4 linked regions of the Arabidopsis thaliana genome follow. The protein of the gene in region 1 interacts with the protein of each later gene in a pairwise test. Each region holds a gene or a part of one and is shown in the gene's direction. Other genes may lie near its edges. The genes, in order: AT4G19370, ABC4, AT1G21790 and AAP5.

Region 1 (4,240 bases):
GCAAGCTATGGATGACATGTATTTATCCGGTGGGTTATTAGCGACGTCCGATACGAACGTAGTGATTCTTGCGGGATCCACAGTCGGAGGTGGTTCTACAATCAATTGGTCCGCCTCGATCAAGACACCAGAACATGTGATGAAGGAATGGGCAGAAAAGTCAAAACTCGAAATGTTCGGAAGTGATTTGTATCGAGAGGCAATGGATGTTGTCTGTAAGAGGATGGGTGTTCAATGCGGATTTGTAGAAGAAGGGTTTAATAATGAGGTATTGAGAAAAGGTTGTGAAAAGTTAGGGTTACCAGTGAAGAATATTCCGAGGAATGCTCCATCCGATCATTACTGTGGGTTTTGTTGCTTGGGTTGCAAGAAAGGTCAAAAGCAGGGGACTTCAGAGACTTGGCTTGTAGATTTGGTGGAATCTGATAATGGTTTAATCCTTCCAGGTTGTCAAGCGACGGAAGTCATGTACGACTGTGAACAGGGGAAGAAGAAGAAGGCAACTGGAGTTGCGTTTGCGTTTGGGGAAGAGATTTATGTGGTGGAGTCTAGAGTGACAATAGTGGCTTGCGGTGCGCTTAGAACGCCGCATCTGTTGAAACGTAGCGGTTTGAAGAATAGTAACATTGGGAGAAACCTTTGTCTACATCCGGTTGTTATGGCTTGGGGATGGTTTCCAGAGGAAGATAAGTGGCCGGAAAAGAAGAAAAAGAGCTACGAGGGGGGAATAATGACTGCGATGTCTAGCGTTGTAATTGAAGAAACGCATAGTTCTTATGGTGAAATGGTTATCCAGACACCTGCTCTACATCCAGGAATGTTCTCAGGGATCATTCCCTGGACATCAAGCAAGGATTTCAAAACCCGAATGCTCAAATTTTCAAGAACCGCACACATTTTTGCGCTTCTGAGAGATAAAGGAACCGGAACAATAGATTCCAAGACCTACATTGACTACAACTTAAACGATGAAGACGAAGAGAGTCTAAAGAACGGTCTTGAAAGAGTCTTGAAGATTCTGGCCGCAGCCGGAGCCGAGGAGATTGGGACGCATCATTCAGAAGGTAGGAGTCTGAATGTTAGAACAGCGAGTTCGTTAGAGATTGAGCGGTTTGTGAGAGAAGAGAGTTCAAAGCCGTTGAAGGATTTGTCAGGTCAGATATGTTCAGCTCACCAAATGGGAAGTTGTAGGATGGGAATTAGGCCGGAGGAATCCGCGGTGAGGCCAACAGGAGAGACTTGGGAGGTCGAAAGGTTATTTGTGGCGGACACAAGTGTTTTTCCGACCGCTTTAGGGGTTAATCCGATGGTCACCGTTCAGTCTATTGCTTATTGTATTGGACTTAATGTTGTTGATGTTCTTAAGAAGAAGAAGTGAGGGTTCATCAGTTTGAAATAGATTTTAGTTTTCCACATATTTTTTAAAATGAAATGTTTTTTTTATACAATTGATAAAACTAATATTAAGAAGTTCTTTGTCAAAGTATCAGTTAGCAATAAATTTCCTTTTCTTTTAATTATTCGTAAACTATAACTAGTAAACACTGGTAGGCAGTAGCAGCTTGATAAATAAGAAATAAAGATGAGCAAAATGGATAATATTTCTTAAGCTAGTAGGCAATATATGATATGAAATAAAAAATCATATTAAAATTTCAGATTTTAATTCTAAAACAAAACAAACAAAAAATTATGTATACAAAAAGTTTCAAGCCTTTAACTTGGGAAGGCTTAATCTATACTCAACTTCTATAGTCCATGCCATTATCATGCTTTTGTTCTTTTTATTAAGGCCACTTTGTATGTAAGTCAAACAATCTACGTTTGACCTCGTCTTTAGTAAACACAAATCATCTATTTCCTTTTAATCGTTTTGGAAAAAAATTTTATTTTAATGTATGATAATATTCTCCTCTCTTTTATTTCCATATTATTTAGTTGACAAAGAAGATTTCTATGAGAAGTTACCTCACATAGTCACATATCCAAAATTTTAAGTTTGTGTTGTGTACTTGTATCAAAAGTATACGCCATCATCTATTTTCTTTAAAATGGTTTTGGAAATTTTATCATTTGATATAATTAAGAATTTTATTCTCTCTCTTTATTTTCCATCCTTATGTAGATTAAAGAACTTTCCTCAAGCCTATTAAAAGATAATTAAATAAATCCCCCTGAGAATTTGACTCAAATAATCTAAGGTGTAGCATTTATGTTGCAGAATTACATATATGTAAGTGCGTCTGATTGATTTTGTCCACTAAAAACTATGCACAACCTTTTTCTCTACTCAGTCGTGTTCTCTCTTGGTCTCGTTTCCTTCATCACATGTTTCGCAGCCGAGTTCAAGAGAACACAGGTACGACGTCGAGTTCCTTCAATTTGTTTTTTTATATTGACAAATCGAACCAAAGTTTACTTGTGTAGAAAGAAGATATTCGATGGGACACAGAGAGGAACTGCTATGTACCCGGAAGCCATGCGTTCGGGCTTGGATCAGCCGCTGTTCTTTGCTTCTGCCTTGCTCAGATCGTTGGGAACATAGTTGTGTTCCGAAATCACCGGACAAGAACTAAAAGAGAAGATGGTTACAAGATTACTGATCTTACTTTACCTACGGTTCTATTGCTCCTGTCCTGGTAAAATATTTTTCCTCTTCTCTTTTTTTTTTTTAATCTCATCTAACTGTAACCAAGAATCCCCTTAACCACCTACCGATATATCTTACTGAATTTTGTATTGGGTAATTTTGAATCAGTGAGTAATTCGGTTTACGGTTTAGTTTTCCGGTTTTACTAAAACTTAAACCTATAAAACCATTTGTATTTTGGTTTGGCTGTTTAGTTTTTGTTTTGTACTAGGTTCGGCTGTAGTTGAAAAAATAAAACCGAAATATAAATATATAAGAAGTTCACCAATATTATGTTTATGCAATAAAAAAATATAACATCTAAAGAAAATATGGACTGGTTTGTTAGGTGACACTAATGCAAAGTTCGGTATCGTTTCGGTTAATCAATTTGTTTTGGTTTGATTCGATTTTAAGGTTGAGAGTTATATTTCCCATCCCTAAGATTCTAAACATATCAGGCGATGTATCATCTAAAGTATAAGAAAGAAAATATCTCTTGAGATTAGTTTCCTATATTGATAATTCTCTGTTCTTGTTTTTCCTTACCTATGTGATCAGGTCCAATTTTGTGGTAGTGGTATTGATTTTGAGTACCGCAATAAGCATGAGTCGAGCTCAAGCGTATGGAGAAGGATGGCTTGATGAAGATTGTTACTTGGTCAAAGACGGTGTCTTTGCAGCTTCAGGCTGCTTAGCCATCCTTGGACTTGGAGCTTTGACCATTTCAGCCACCAGGATCAAAGTAAAGAAACAACAACAACTTGTGCAAGTCGTAATCAAAGACCAAAACCAAGACCAAAGGAGATCAATGGAAGAAGAACAAAAGCATGATGAGCACCAAACGAACAAGTCAGAAAGTGTCATTCACTTGGTGGAAGAAGTGTCTTCCACTAATATAAGCAGAATATAAAAATAAATATAAAACGAAAAGTAAAAGGGGAAATATCGGATATGCTATTATTTACAAAGATGTATATAATTGGTTAATGCACTTATTTAATTCATCCATCAACCACTTAAGGTCACCTAGGATACCAATTAAAAGAATGTCGCGATAGTTTCAACTTGTGTATAATAATTATGCATTATGCTATTTTCTTCTTTATCTCAATTGACTGGCAATTAGGAAGATTCGTTCCCAGTTACAAGCCTCAACTAGTGGTCTACATAACTCTGATCAATCTAAGATTATAACTTATTACAACATGAATAAGAGAATAGTACTTTCACACGTGTGGGAGATGCAGACACCCAAGACTTACCAAGTCAACTATACTTGACCCATTTAAGTCAAAACTCAAAGGGAATAGAGAAGAATTAAACATGGAACTAGAAAAACAGTAAAGACTGTTACATATGTTGGAAGATTTAACTTATCAGTGGTTGTAACAAATAGAAAAGAAAAAAAGAAAGAAACAACATTCTTTCAAAAATCCTAAATAAAAAAGGTAAGTTCATGATACCAAAAGACACATGATTCTTAATGATATGTGCCACAAAAGATATCGACTCAAAACAAATGTTTAAACCCCAAAAGCAGAGATTCACAGGTCAGTAAGGCATATAGTATCCACTACAGAAATATGTTGGTGGTAGTTGTAATTGAAG
Region 2 (5,240 bases), on another chromosome or scaffold:
CCAGTTTCGGTATCAATCAAACACATCGTTGAATCAGCTTCACTTGCTTGGGACGAGTAAGTTTCTGAATTTTGTTATTCATTTGGTTTGAATGTTGTTAGAACTTTATAGAGCTAAAAGCTTGTTCCTTTGTATGTGGTTGCAGTGAGAGCTGGTTGTACTATTGATCCTGTAAACTACTTTGCTAATGATAACCTTGCTCCTATGATGCGGCTTAATAGCACACGCGGAAGGGAAACTGAAAACAACAATATTATGCAGAGACAGCAGAAGCTGCAGATCTCTTTGAATTATAACTACAACAACAATAATACTGTTGTTCAAGATGAAGTCCCAAAGCAGAACTTAGTGTCAACTGGTCTGAGACTATCTTATGATGATGATGAGCGCAACTCTTCTGTAACTTCAGCAAATGGAAGCATAACAACTCCAGTCTATCAGTCACTCGGTGACAATATCAGATTGGACCTCAATAGACAGAACGACGAGCTTGATCAGTTTATCAAATTCCGGGTATTAATTTTATCTACAAAGCGTATGTTTTTGCTTACATATCCCATGTCGTTGAAATTGTTCTCTCTTGGAACAGGCAGATCAAATGGCGAAAGGTGTGAGAGATATTAAACAGAGACATGTCACGTCCTTTGTCACGGCCTTAGAGAAGGATGTGAGTAAGAAGCTTCAAGAGAAAGACCATGAGATTGAAAGCATGAACAAGAAGAACCGGGAACTCGTGGATAAGATAAAACAAGTGGCAGTGGAAGCTCAGAACTGGCATTACAAAGCAAAATACAATGAATCTGTGGTTAATGCCTTAAAGGTAAATTTGCAACAAGTGATGTCACATGGAAACGACAACAATGCAGTAGGAGGAGGAGTTGCTGATCATCATCAAATGAAAGAAGGGTTTGGGGATAGTGAGATTGATGACGAAGCAGCTTCTTACAATTACTTGAACATCCCGGGGATGCCAAGTACTGGGATGAGATGTAAGTTGTGTAACGTAAAGAATGTTTCGGTCTTGCTCGTGCCATGTAGGCACTTGAGTTTGTGTAAAGATTGTGATGTGTTTACTGGTGTTTGTCCTGTTTGCCAGTCTTTGAAAACTTCTAGCGTTCAGGTCTTCTTCTTCTGAGTTGTCTTCATACTCTTGAAAAGTAAATGGTGGATGAACATATTTGTATGTGATGGTGGTGATGAATGAAAACTTGGTCGAGTCTTTCTTTGCTTTTGCCATTAAACCTATATAGCATGATTCTGCTATTTCGTAGTTATTAAGCAGCCGTTCTTTGAACACGAGATAATAATTGAGTTCCGTGTCGTGTGCGATATGTCAAGCTGTGGATTACATTGTTAGAAGAAATTATTAAACTTGTTTTGGCTGATTTTTTTCTTCTTAATATTTTTGCTGCAAAACTTGTTTCCCAAGTAAGGTTATTTATGTACTAAAACAATATTTTTTTAATGTAAAGGATTTTGATCAATATTTCCGTTAGAAAAATACTAATAAAGTTGATATTAATATACATCATATTACGTTTGCAAAAATAAAAAAGACGCAGTTAATTTCCCCATCTGAATATTAATTTTTGGCATTAATATTAATTTGGTTTAATTATAAATTATGTCAACATTGTTTAATTTGTAAATCATGCAAATCTAGTTTACTTGTAGTAGTTTGTACCAACCAAACCCTCAAAGGCTCGAAAGTAATGGGCCTTAAAGGCCCACCTTTCTACTTGTATTTAAAATTGGTCAAAGACACGTGAACCTCACGTGATTTTATCTTCCAACGAGGGAGCTTCTGTTATCCACTTCATCATTCACGTCTCTTCCGCAAAACCCAACATTCAAATTCTTGTCTGAATAACGAAATCCCAACATTTGCATTGCATAGATTCCTTCACAAATCCTCTGATTCTGATTCTGGTCACTCAATTTTGCCTGTTTATTGGCATAATTCGGGCACTTTTCTCTCAGTTTTTGTATAAGGTTCAATGAGTTTGTTCTGTACTTCTGTGTGCGTTATCTTCTCCAAATTAAGATTCCAGATTCGTGGGTTCATGAAAATCTCGTTGTAGACGAGCCAAGTTGAAATATTTTTCCTCAAGTGAATTTTGTTATGATCACGTCGTGGTTTTGATCTGACTCCACTTCCGTCGCTAACTCTCTTCGAAAGATTCGTGTTAAAAAAGGTAAAGTTCCAAACTTCATACTTTTTTTACTTCATCTTACTCATTTTCCATTGTCTCTGATTCATGCCAGAACAAAGATTTTAGTTATAGGGTTCCAGAATCTCGGACTTTAACTCGGAAGTAGTGTTCTTCCTCTGTTAACTGAAATTCTTTCTTTTGTTTTATGCAGAAACCTGAAAATGGTGAATTTTGTTTCTCTCTGTGACATAAAGTATGGGTTTGTGCCCAAAAATTCAACTGATTTGTTTGTGAAACGGAAAATTCACAAGGTAGGCTTAGCACTTCATCCAAAGCTTTGTTCTTTGACAATAATCTACTTTGTACTGTCACTAAAATTACTTAGCTTAGCTTCCCAGCAGAGGAGATGTAATCACTAGATTACCGGTGTTTGGTTCGAATGCACGAGAGAATCTGAATGCTAAACCAAGAAGAAACCTTAGAGTTAGGCCAATCTTTTGTAAGAGTTATGGAGATGCAGCAAAGGTTTACCAAGAAGAGGAGATTCCCAGAGCAAAATTGATATGGAGAGCAATCAAACTACCAATGTACTCTGTCGCTTTAGTTCCTCTTACCGTATGTTTCCTCAAGAAACCTTTCTATGTCCTCCATTGCCTTTATCTGCTAGGGAATATTCACTGTTCAAATGTCACACAGGTTGGCGCTTCAGCGGCCTATTTAGAGACGGGTTTGTTCTTAGCTAGACGTTATGTTACTCTATTGCTCTCATCAATTCTTATCATTACTTGGCTCAACCTAAGGTGATTAATTGATTGATTCCTTTTAACATTTTCGTTGACTGTATTTACTCTTTCATGTATTTACTCTTTCCAAACATGGTTTTATGTTTGCAGCAATGATGTTTATGATTTTGATACCGGAGCTGATAAGAACAAAATGGAATCAGTAGTAAATCTGGTTGGAAGGTAAAGTATTATCAAAGGATAGAGTTTGCAACTTTGAAGTTTATGTTTTTGAGTTCCATCCTAATAAACTGTGTTTTACTTGGAAAAGCCGGACAGGAACCTTAGCCGCTGCAATCACATCGCTAGCGCTTGGTGTTTCTGGTCTAGTTTGGACATCGTTAAATGCAAGTAATATCCGTGCAATACTATTGCTAGCCTCAGCAATACTCTGTGGCTACGTATACCAGGTGAACGTTACTTCCTAGATGACAATTTGATACTAATCTAGGAGATTTCTAACTTAGAGTAATACTTTGTGACTAGTGTCCGCCATTTCGGTTAAGTTACCAAGGATTAGGAGAGCCTCTATGCTTTGCAGCATTTGGTCCATTTGCTACTACTGCTTTTTATCTACTTCTTGGTAGCTCAAGGTAATATCAAAATTTTGTTTTAAGCCTAATCCATTCGTGTTTCCATGAGGTGTTAATAATGGAAGCTTGTTAATCGGTTTTGGCAGCGAGATGAGGCATCTTCCGCTAAGCGGTAGGGTCCTTTCATCATCTGTCCTTGTTGGTTTTACTACATCTCTTATCCTTTTCTGCAGCCACTTTCATCAGGTTGGTTAATGAAAAAGTGGTCTAATGAGTCCTGAAATGACAAACACAGTACTGACTACATTTACATTCTATAGGTGGATGGAGATTTAGCTGTGGGGAAATATTCACCTCTGGTACAAATGTGAAAAAAACTCAACAAGGTTTAATATGAATATGGTGATTGTGTTTATGATTAGAGTTTTTTTTTGGTTGACACAGGTTCGGTTAGGGACTGAAAAAGGAGCTTTTGTTGTGAGATGGACTATTCGTTTACTATATTCAATGCTTCTTGTTCTTGGTTTAACCAGGATTTTGCCACTACCTTGCACCGTAAGTTAACAGATTTGAGAACATGACTGAAATATAAGAACATATATTAAAACCTCCTTTTTGTTGTTGGTGTTTCAGTTGATGTGCTTCCTGACATTACCAGTTGGGAATTTGGTTTCAAGCTACGTTGAAAAGCACCACAAGGTAAGATATTTAGAATTGAAATTTGTAATACTCAAAGTTTTGCTAATCTATTCTTTTAATGCAGGATAATGGGAAGATATTCATGGCCAAGTATTACTGTGTGAGACTCCACGCCTTGCTTGGAGCCGCATTGTCGTTGGGGCTAGTTATCGCGCGCTAGAAATCAGTCACCAAACATTTGTTTCTCTCTTTAGCCTTCGTTGTATCTACCTAAACGTTTAGCCACTACAGTATGCTGTAGCTAAAAGGAAACATTCGAACTTACAACAGTTGTGAAAGGTCTCAAATTAATCACAAGCATGGTGAGCGATTGTATCCTCAATTGTTAAAGTGACGGGTGCCACCATGGATATGTTGAAACATGGGCCATGTCGGATTTAGTGCAAGCCCGTTGACGGCGTTTGTGTTAGGTAATTCAGATTTCCAACACACAAGATGGCCCAACAAAGAGGTTATGCTTGTGTTTGTAGGACATAATTGTTTCTCGATATGGACCTTTCTCCAATTCTTGAATCCATCCCAAACCACTGAAGTTGGATCCCATGTGCATTTAAGAAAATCATTAGAAGGTGAGATCCAGATTTATATTAGAGAACACATAAAACCCCAAAATATTATCATTTGAGAAGCCTATTCAGCCTATGTTATTAGGTTTTATAGCAAAATCATTAGCGGGTTTAGATGGGCTGCTCAAATGATAATATATTAGGCTTTATGTGTGCTCTAATAACTTTGATGGTAATGAGTTGACGGTATTGACCAAGTTGAAGATTGTGGACATTGTTGATTGCAATTTGATTCCTCGTGATCTGTTGTTGCTTTATGAATTACCTTCATGGCCGAGAAGCCTAGTTCATTCTAATCTTTTCACATCCTCTAAAGAATCCACAAGCTAGTAATTTTTCTTAAGCTTTTTACATTTTATTAATTTTCTCAACAAATTATTATATATTACTTGGATCTCAATATTACTTATATAGTACTAATATAAAACATTAAAAATCTTAACGAAATGTATATATTGTTGTTTTATATATATATATATGTGTCATCTTCTAATTATTCTAACTAAA
Region 3 (4,261 bases), on another chromosome or scaffold:
GTCGCCGTCCCCGTCGCCATTTTATCTGTTATCTCTCTAAGTCTAAGTCCACTCTCTTTCATTTCAAACCGAGAATTGATTTTAATATATCGTTAGTAAACCGGTTTAATGGATAAAAACGTATAATCGTCGTACACGTGGCAGGCGATGGAGGCGGCAGAGTGTTTTGCTTGCTTCGTCGTGTTATTTGGCGTGAAGTAAAGAGTTCAGAGAGAAAAGGAAGTCAAAACTTCAGAGAGAAAGTGGATGGGGGACACGAAGGTAGAGACAATCTCGAGGTTAGCTCAATGGAGAATTGAAAATTTTGGTCCTTGTTCTTTCAAAAAGTCCGATCCTTTCAAAGTCGGAATTTGGAATTGGTAAGCTTTTCATTTTTGGTTTATTTTGGTAAATTTTCTTCGGAATTTTGATTTTTGTTTGTTTTGGGATATGATGAAGGCATCTGTCTATAGAGAGGAATCGCTATCTATCAGTGAGGCTATTCCCAGAACTTTCTCGAGTATCTAAAGAGCAACCTCCTGTTGCCAAATTTGTTCTTCGTGTCTCCAACGTTGGCCCCAATCGTAGATTCTACATCTCTCCTGGTATGTCTTGTCTTTGAATTGACTTTTCTGGATTTGGAATTTGAATTCTATTGTCGAGCTCGAATTAGGTATTTCAGGAAAGGGAATTACCTTTTATGTGGGAACTATATTCAATTATGTGGAATCTGAAAGATATTAATTTAGATGTTAATGATTGGCTGATGATTAGTAGTACCTTATGGGATGGTTACAACTGAATTAGGTTTGTTTAAGCTGAGATACTCTGTTTATTTGGTGCAGTTTATGAGAAGCTGCTGCGTACAACTGATGATTGTGTGTGGCATGTTGACTCCAGTTTCCACGGTCGATTCACCATTGATGTTGAGTTTCTTGATCTCAAAATCTGCCCTGTGAATGTAAGCTTAATGATTCTATTTATACTCTCACAATTTCTTCTCTTTGTAACATTTGTACTTCCATGGTTGATCAAATCAAATCATAATCCAGGGTGGTGAAGCTTCTCCTGTTTGGCCAACCGATGCAACAATGCAATCAATCTCTACTCAAACCACTCTCAAATGCTTATCCCGGATGCTAGAGGAAAGCATACTAACCGATGTAATCATCCACACAGCCGATGGAACACTCTCTGCTCACAAAGCTATCCTCTCAGCTAGCTCAACTGTTTTCAAAAGCATGTTCCACCACGACCTCATGGAAAAGGAATCATCCACAATCCACATAGACGACATGTCGAGAGAATCTTGCATGGCTCTACTAAGTTACCTCTACGGAAACATAACCCAAGAAGAGTTCTGGAAACACAGGCTCGCCCTCCTCGGCGCTGCAAACAAGTACGACATAACGGATTTGAAAGCAGCCTGCGAGGAGAGCCTAATGGAAGATATAAACTCGAGTAATGTGCTCGAGAGGCTACAAGAAGCTTGGCTTTATCAGCTGGAGAAACTGAAGAAAGGGTGTTTGATGTATTTGTTTGATTTCGGAAAGATTTATGATGTCAGAGAAGAAATCAGCAGTTTCTTCAGGCAAGCTGATCGAGAACTGATGCTGGAGATGTTTCAAGAGGTTTTGTCTGTGTGGAAACCGGTCTAATATACACTTACACACATACTTTGAACATTTCAGCTTGATGGTGTTTTGTTTATAGTCTTCTTGTTCTCTTCTGTGTGTGTAACTAACAACAACTCTGGATTTTGTTGTATCACTCTGTCTAATGTATAGTATTGAGTGGATTTGCCTCTAGTTTGGTGTACCGAGCCTCTCAAATGGGCCGAGCCTTTCAAATGGGCTGTGACTAGGCCTAATGACTGTCGACATCGAATGTCGGCACAAAATATGATAATTTTGTCGATGTTGAAATCGTACGTTTTTTGTTTTAATTAGATGAGTCAGCATCAGGAGGATGAAGTATCGACCGACACGTGTCCGTTGCGTCCCAAAGTAAAGCTTATAACGTGAAGGCATTTGTATCGTCTCTTCCGCCAAAATTGGAAATGGATATCGAAGTTTGAGCTAAGAATCCAATTTAGGGTTAACTTTGCCGGATTCTCAAGCAATCTCCGAGAGAGACAGTGAGGTTTCGATGGCGAGGAACGGGATTGGGAGTTCAGGAGGGAAGAAGAATGGGGCTGGGCAGTTTTTCTTAGCGACGCTGCTTCTTTGGCTTGTCTCCGTCGTGTTTGAGATTGCTTTCAATCTCCGGACGGAGCTTCTCTGGGTGATTTGCGGTGGATGCTTCTTTCAATTGATGAATTGGGTTGTTCGTTCATGGATTTCTCGTGACCCTATATTTGTTAATACCTCTGTCTCGCTTTTGCACTCAATCATCACCTCCGCATCAGGTCCCTTTCTCTCTTCTCTTATATTTGAGTTCTTACTATAGGATTGTGCTCTGTTAGTGGGGAAATTTTATCATAGGTGTGCACATTGGTCGTTGGTATTAGTCAATTTTCCTTTGGTGCTGTGTTTTCACGGTTTCATTGCTTAATGTGATTCTTATTTCCGATTGGATTAGTCTTATGATTGATTGCCATAGCTTGAGTATAATGCAGTTCTTTCTTCGTTAAGCCTTACTGATTATGATTTTTCATCTTCAACACTGCTCTTGTGTTACTACAGTGGTTTTCATACTTCTCAATCAATGCTTAGCCAAAGGTTTAGACGAGATGTTTGATCATTCTGAGTTGGTTGGTGGGACTTGGAAATGGGCATATCCAGCTTTGTGTTTCTCATGCGGCTACTTTGCATATGACCAGTGGGATATGCTTCAGTACCGGTTATACAGCGGCTTAATACCTTCTATTCTTGTTCACCATCTAGTCCTCCTTGTTTGCTTCACATTGGCACTATACCGAAATGTAACCATCAACTACCTTATTCTTACTCTCATCTGTGAGGTACGTTCCACTTTTTTCTTCCTGAAAACTTGCCCTGGCTTTTCTCTGTTCTTTACCGAATCTATGCTAACATTCTCTAGTTAAACTAGACTAGTTTCATATATAACAATCTAGTTAGATATAGACTCAACTCTACAACATCTACTTGTTCGAACAAAAGTGACACCTCTGTTATTCGGATGTGTAAACAGATGCATTCGATCTTTCTACACGTGAGGAAGCTAAGGAGAATGGCAGGAATCCGAGACAGCAACACAGCATTGGTGAAACTGGAGTGGGTATTAAACTGGACAGCCTTTGTGTTTGCGAGATGCATTCCTCACATTCTCATCACTATCAAGCTGATCAAAGACGCACACAAGTTTGGGAAAGGCGTGGAGTTACCACTCGCTCTGTCTGGTATGGCAGGAATGAACATTCTTAATGTTGGCCTCGGGTTGGATCTGTTTCATGCTTTCAGAAGAGAGAGAAGCCACAGAAGAAACCAAGAGAACGGCAACCTTCACGACCATGGAGAATAATAGCTAATTTAGAGGCAATCCATTACCGAATCTATGGTTTGTTGTTGTATGAATACTACCCACTCATCTCTTGTTTATATCTGAGGCTTTGCTACTAAGTTCTAATAGCTTTCAGATTTGTATGTATCTCTCTATAGGAAAACTACATGTAAATGTTATTTCTTGATGATTACAGTCAACAGACTTTTTTTCTTCTTGTGTTTGGGGAAACGGAACCAAATTAGAATTTTGGTTTGATCTTTGGTTGTGATTTATATATCATAATCATTATATAAAAGTTAATCTTAATGAACTTTGGTTTATTCAGTTAAATTTTGGTATAATCTTTTCAATCTATTAGGAAAGTTTGTTTAGTGTTGAGTTGATGAAGTTTGGTCCGGTTCAGTTTCCACCAATGTTTGGAAGAAAAAAAAATGCAAGAGCATGAGAGGTCCTACCGGGAGTCGAACCCAGGTCGCTGGATTCAAAGTCCAGAGTGCTAACCACTACACCATAGAACCTCAGGTGCTTGTTCTGTTGCATGTACCAGTTTAGAATCTAATCCAAAATATTGTATTTTAGACACGACCAATGAATAGATTCAACATCAGCAGTTCAGCAGCACCACAGATTGCAGTTTTCTTTGTCTTTATCTAACCAAACAAAACAAAAATCAATATTTTACTTGGTGACAATGCATCATATGAGACCATCAAACTGGTGACAGTGAAATAACAAAGATGAATCTCACAAGACATAAACGTTAAGAAGATTACACTATGTAGCAAAAGAAACAAGGGTGATCTTTTTGCTACTAACA
Region 4 (5,683 bases), on another chromosome or scaffold:
CTATCAATATACTTTTCAGATGAATTATTGGTTTTCCAACAACATCGTTCTGAAAAATCAAAATGTTTTCCAACTCAAATAATAGATTAGATGTTCCAATGATTATATTAAATTTCCTATTTTTTGGTAATTCATATATGCAGAAAACTTCGGAAAACCATTGCACAGCAATAAGCATTTAAAAAAAGTGAAACCCATTCTATCAATGTTATGTTGAAAAACTTCATCTAATTGAGGTGTATTTTGCATGTTCATACAAAAACTCCAAAAATAAAATTGAAAATAATCGAGAATATTTAACATTGTTATGTAACTTCAATTTGTGAGAATTTATCAACGAAAATAGAGTATATATAATATGACCAAACTCATAACAGGCAAACACCACTTTACATAGTTTCCACTTTCATTTCCTCAAACCAACCGAAAGTTTTTAGAAACATAGTAGATATAGACAAAGAAGTCCATGGTAAACGTTAATTATTTAAATAACTATTAAATAATAAATTAATAAAATATTTACTTTATCAATTTGTTTGTAATTATGGTTGAAAACTTGCCCATCAAAATTTTAAATATATTTTCTTTTTCAAAATAATATCTAATTGCCTATGATAAATGATTCTAAAATAGTAAAGTATACCACCAAATCGTTCATTTATACTCTTTAGAAATGATATAACGACAGTGTATTTTCCAACCGAATGGTCGGTGTTTCCAGTGTATTTGAAAGAATTTAAGAGCGAGAAAGAAAAATTTATTAGCATCTCTTTATTTTTAATTCCTCGGAATTGGTTCGTTTGAGTTTAATTAATTCCGGTTGACAAAAAAAAAACAAATGATATAAGGAATTTGAAAAGTTAAATCCTCCGTCAACTTTCTCTTGACATCAAAAGTACATATAACATAATAATCAATAATAATGAAAAAACAACTATATCTCTAATTATAATTACTTTAATTTACTCAAATACTCATTAAATTAAGGACATGAATCATTGTTTTTAAATTTTAAAATTAAAATATCTATATTTTAAAGGTAAAAATCTTAAAATTTGGTTTGATGTTTAGCTTTTATGGAATTTTTAAGAATTGAGATTAATCCTAGCAATTCTAGCAATGTTATGTTGAAAAACTTCATCTAATCGAGGTGTATTTTGCATGTTCATACAAAAACTCCACAAATAAAATGGAAAATAATCGAGAATATTTAACATTGTTTTGTAACTTCAATTTGTGAGAACCTATCAACCAAAAAAGAGTATATAATGTGACCAAACTCATAACATGCAAACACCACTATACATAGTTTCCACTTTCATTTCCTCAAAACCAACCGAAAGTTTTTAGAAATATACTAGATATAGACGAAAGAAGTCCATGGTAAACGTTAATTATTTAAATAACAAATTAATAAAATATATACTTTATCAATTTGTTTATAATTATGGTTGAACACATGCCCATGTTAAATATATTTTGTTTTTTTTGAGTAATGCCTATGATAAATGATTCTAAAATATTAATATAAGTATACCACCAAATCGTTCATTTACAAATGATATAACGAATTTCAAAAGTTAAATCTTCCTTCAACTTTCTCTTGACATCAAAAGTACATATAACATAATAATCAATAATAATAAAAACTACTATATCTCTAATTATATATTTTCTTAAATTACTTTGATTTACTCAAATACTCTTAAATTATAAGGACATGAATCATTGTTTCTAAAATTTAAAATTAAAATATCTATATTTTAAAGGTAAAAATCTTAAAATTTAGTTTGATTGTTTAGCTTATATGTAATTTATAAGATTTGACATTTTGCACTTGTTGTCACTAATGTATAACAATGAAACCATTTTCTCATAAAAAGATAAACTATTTTTGTAGTCCTCACAAAAAAAAAAAAAAAAGCACATGCGGTTTCCTCTGCTTCTTCCTTCTTACAAGTTGGATGTCTCCGTCTTCCACGGTGCTTATAAATTAGTGAAACAACAAAAGCTTTGGTCAGTATTTATATTATCATGCATTTCTAATCTCTACTTTGTCAATTCCTATACTTTCACTCTCTTCCAATTATATAATCTCTGGTCCATAGAAAACATCGGTCTCTTGTCACCGTTGATTTTATTTGGTCAAAATCATTCTTCTTCTCGCTGAATAATCGTTGATTTCACTTCTTCTTCTGGTCTTAAAAAAATTCAAGATCTATACGAGAAAACACAAAACAAGTAAAACTTTTTCAACCGTTTTTCCTGTCGGTAAAGTTTGGATTCTTCTTAGTAAATTTTGGTCTTATTGTCGACCAAAAGAAGAAGATGGTCGTTCAGAATGTTCAAGATTTGGATGTTCTTCCGAAACATAGCTCGGATTCATTCGATGATGATGGTCGTCCCAAGCGAACCGGTAATTTCTCTTTTTTTCTCTAATTTTATGTTTTATGTTTCTCTAATCTGTTCAAACAAGAATCAAAGTAAATATAAAATTAGTCTCTGTTTCCTATAACCGGGGATTTGAACCCGAAACCCGGAATTTTTTTAATTCCGGGTTTCGGGATACAAACCGAAACCCGGAGTCTGTTGAACTTGCAATTTAAAACATCTACAGTAAATATATGCATAGGCTTTGTTTGTTAAGGGGTGACAAATTCCTACTTCTTTTTTTGTGTGGATGTTATGGAAAAGTATGATTTTTGTTACTAAAGTGTATGAACACTATTGTTACTACAGTTGTTGTCTTAAAATTAACGGTTAAACAAAACAGACTTTATTGTTACTACAGTTCTTGTCTTAAAATTCTGTTTGAATGTGATTGGTGTTTAGGGACGGTGTGGACAGCAAGTGCACACATAATAACAGCAGTAATTGGGTCAGGAGTGTTGTCATTGGCATGGGCCGTTGCTCAGATTGGTTGGATTGGTGGTCCAGTGGCTATGTTACTCTTTTCTTTCGTTACTTTTTACACATCTACCCTTCTCTGTTCTTGTTACCGATCTGGTGACTCTGTTACCGGCAAAAGAAACTACACTTACATGGACGCTATTCACTCCAACCTCGGTAAACAAAAAAAAAATCATTTCGGTTTCTTTTTGGTGCATATATTGGGATATTGAACCGAAGATCGACGGTTGAGATGACAAGGCCAAGATATAACAAAAAGATATTATTCTAGAAGATAAATGTTAATATTGAAGTTTAGAAAGTTTAACATTTATCTTTTAGAATAATATTTTCTTGCCGTATCTTGGCCTTGTCATTTCAACCGTTGATCTCTGTCGATCTCTGGTTCTCCATATCGGTTCCATATCCCAATAGTTATTATCATCAAAAACTTAATTCATTCTTGATTCATTTTTAGGTGGGATTAAGGTGAAAGTATGTGGAGTTGTGCAATATGTTAATCTATTTGGTACAGCAATTGGATATACAATTGCATCAGCTATAAGTTTGGTGTAAGTTAAAACTTTGCTTTCACAAAACTCTTTTTATTTTAATTGTTCACATTTGTCCAAAAAAAGTTAGATGCGTGTTTTATTTTGCTATTCAATATTGTCCATACAAGTCATTAATGTTTGGCTCAATAATGCAGTGTTTTAGTCAATGTAGTCTTGTTTTGTGCCATTAAAGATTCGAAAGAACGGCTCTATTATTGTTTGACTTGTTAACTAATTTTCTTGAATAAAAAATTTACAGAGCAATCCAAAGGACAAGTTGCCAACAGATGAATGGACCAAATGATCCTTGTCATGTTAATGGAAATGTTTACATGATTGCGTTTGGTATTGTACAAATCATATTCTCTCAGATTCCTGATTTTGATCAGTTATGGTGGCTTTCCATTGTCGCTGCGGTCATGTCTTTTGCTTATTCTGCCATTGGACTTGGCCTTGGTGTCTCTAAAGTGGTAGAGAACAAAGAAATTAAAGGTAGTCTCACTGGAGTCACTGTTGGGACAGTGACACTGAGTGGGACAGTGACATCGTCGCAGAAAATATGGAGAACATTTCAGTCTCTTGGCAACATTGCGTTTGCGTACTCTTACTCGATGATTCTCATCGAAATTCAGGTATTTTTGTTACGCGAGTTTTTTTTTTTTTGAAAATAATGTTAAGTTAGATTCAAAAGAAAAATAACGTTGTTACAACTAGTGCATCGTTTGGTTTATTTGTTAAGCGAGTTTGTGTGATAAGAGTTTGTTTAAAGGATGTTTTAATCAACTAGACGATTTGATGATCCAGGACACGGTGAAATCACCGCCTGCCGAAGTAAACACGATGAGAAAAGCGACTTTTGTAAGTGTGGCAGTGACTACAGTCTTCTACATGCTATGTGGCTGTGTAGGGTATGCAGCATTTGGGGATAACGCACCCGGAAATCTCCTCGCTCATGGAGGGTTTAGAAACCCATATTGGTTGCTTGACATTGCTAATCTCGCTATAGTGATCCATCTAGTCGGTGCTTACCAAGTCTATTGCCAACCCCTCTTTGCCTTCGTCGAGAAGGAAGCCTCTAGGAGGTTTCCAGAGAGCGAATTCGTCACAAAAGAGATCAAGATCCAACTCTTCCCGGGGAAGCCCTTTAACTTGAATCTCTTCAGGCTCGTATGGAGGACGTTCTTCGTGATGACAACAACGTTGATCTCAATGTTAATGCCTTTCTTTAACGATGTAGTCGGTCTCTTGGGGGCCATTGGTTTTTGGCCTTTAACGGTTTATTTCCCAGTGGAAATGTACATTGCACAGAAGAATGTTCCGAGATGGGGCACAAAGTGGGTTTGTCTACAAGTCTTGAGTGTGACATGTCTTTTTGTGTCCGTAGCCGCGGCCGCGGGATCTGTTATTGGCATTGTTAGTGATCTCAAGGTCTACAAACCTTTCCAGTCTGAATTCTGAGATCATACGGGAAAAATAAACTCCTGCTAAAAGGGTTAAGATTAGAATTGAATGTTTTAATGTCATATTTGTATTAGTTAACTTTGTGTAAGTGTTCAATTATAAATCATGTTTCTACCGAGAATTCTTACAACATTGAACTATCAATGATTAAAAGTAGTCATGTATAAGGATAGCTTTTTCGACACTTGAGGTAGTAGAGATGTATTAAACATTTAATACTTATAATTAATTTTAGAAGTCTATAAACCAAAGGAGCTACAAGATGTTTTGTGTTTATCTCCAAAATTCTTCAAATTCTTAAATCGTTTATCTTCTTGTAAACACTCTCCAAAACTAAAGATCCCCTAGATAAAATTGAGCTAACAATGCCTAATGAAGCCATACAAATAAGATAATCAATGTTTACCTTGACAAAACAATAATTAAAATTTAACAAAAGCAAATCGAGAATAATGATATGACACTGAAAATATTCTGATCTTTCTTTTACAAAGCAATCGATGAATTCTCAGTTAGTTACACAATAAATAACATTAGTTACATTCAAAAGCTATACAATCAAATGAGTGAAAGTACTTAAGAATAATATCACATGCTTGGTGTCTTTTTGATACCTCAACTCTTTTGTTTTATATATACTCAAGAACTTTAATAATATAAAAAATAACTCAACCAATGATGATATAGTTTTAATTTCCTAAACTACAAGTGCAAAGCAATCAAAGTAGTATTAGGGTCGATCGGTAAAGAATTTAGAGTAACGCACACCAATGTCACAT

Evidence for each region.
Region 2: the proteins of AT4G19370 (region 1) and ABC4 interact in a two-hybrid assay, tested with the Arabidopsis thaliana proteins (one large-scale study listed by BioGRID).
Region 3: the proteins of AT4G19370 (region 1) and AT1G21790 interact in a two-hybrid assay, tested with the Arabidopsis thaliana proteins (one large-scale study listed by BioGRID).
Region 4: the proteins of AT4G19370 (region 1) and AAP5 interact in a two-hybrid assay, tested with the Arabidopsis thaliana proteins (one large-scale study listed by BioGRID).

The regions. Positions count from the first base shown.
Region 1 is NC_003075.7:10,565,565-10,569,804, reverse strand, and holds AT4G19370 (chitin synthase, putative (DUF1218)), read left to right. Parts: upstream 1-1,966; 5' UTR 1,967-2,269; coding exon 2,270-2,359; intron 2,360-2,427; coding exon 2,428-2,639; intron 2,640-3,190; coding exon 3,191-3,542; 3' UTR 3,543-3,737; downstream 3,738-4,240. Other genes in the region: AT4G19380 (Long-chain fatty alcohol dehydrogenase family protein), read left to right, coding at 1-1,378. UniProt on the Arabidopsis thaliana protein: Together with MWL1, contributes to secondary cell wall biology, specifically lignin biosynthesis.
Region 2 is NC_003070.9:22,323,894-22,329,133, reverse strand, and holds ABC4 (UbiA prenyltransferase family protein), read left to right. Parts: upstream 1-1,774; 5' UTR 1,775-2,195; intron 2,196-2,364; 5' UTR 2,365-2,374; coding exon 2,375-2,464; intron 2,465-2,543; coding exon 2,544-2,768; intron 2,769-2,849; coding exon 2,850-2,953; intron 2,954-3,046; coding exon 3,047-3,118; intron 3,119-3,206; coding exon 3,207-3,345; intron 3,346-3,421; coding exon 3,422-3,528; intron 3,529-3,614; coding exon 3,615-3,714; intron 3,715-3,788; coding exon 3,789-3,827; intron 3,828-3,912; coding exon 3,913-4,023; intron 4,024-4,101; coding exon 4,102-4,167; intron 4,168-4,231; coding exon 4,232-4,327; 3' UTR 4,328-4,697; downstream 4,698-5,240. Other genes in the region: AT1G60610 (SBP (S-ribonuclease binding protein) family protein), read left to right, coding at 1-56, 146-513, 590-1,135. UniProt on the Arabidopsis thaliana protein: Involved in the synthesis of phylloquinone (vitamin K1). Catalyzes the transfer of a prenyl chain to 2-carboxy-1,4-naphthoquinone.
Region 3 is NC_003070.9:7,652,230-7,656,490, forward strand, and holds AT1G21790 (TRAM, LAG1 and CLN8 (TLC) lipid-sensing domain containing protein), read left to right. Parts: upstream 1-1,858; 5' UTR 1,859-2,127; coding exon 2,128-2,386; intron 2,387-2,663; coding exon 2,664-2,941; intron 2,942-3,132; coding exon 3,133-3,462; 3' UTR 3,463-3,752; downstream 3,753-4,261. Other genes in the region: AT1G21770 (Acyl-CoA N-acyltransferases (NAT) superfamily protein), read right to left, coding at 1-20; AT1G21780 (BTB/POZ domain-containing protein), read left to right, coding at 247-359, 439-584, 825-940, 1,032-1,637.
Region 4 is NC_003070.9:16,763,869-16,769,551, reverse strand, and holds AAP5 (amino acid permease 5), read left to right. Parts: upstream 1-1,866; 5' UTR 1,867-2,328; coding exon 2,329-2,416; intron 2,417-2,832; coding exon 2,833-3,066; intron 3,067-3,113; exon of another isoform or gene 3,114-3,293; intron 3,294-3,367; coding exon 3,368-3,461; intron 3,462-3,702; coding exon 3,703-4,075; intron 4,076-4,247; coding exon 4,248-4,901; 3' UTR 4,902-5,160; downstream 5,161-5,683. UniProt on the Arabidopsis thaliana protein: Amino acid-proton symporter. Stereospecific transporter with a broad specificity for glutamate and both neutral and basic amino acids. Reduced affinities for asparagine and valine.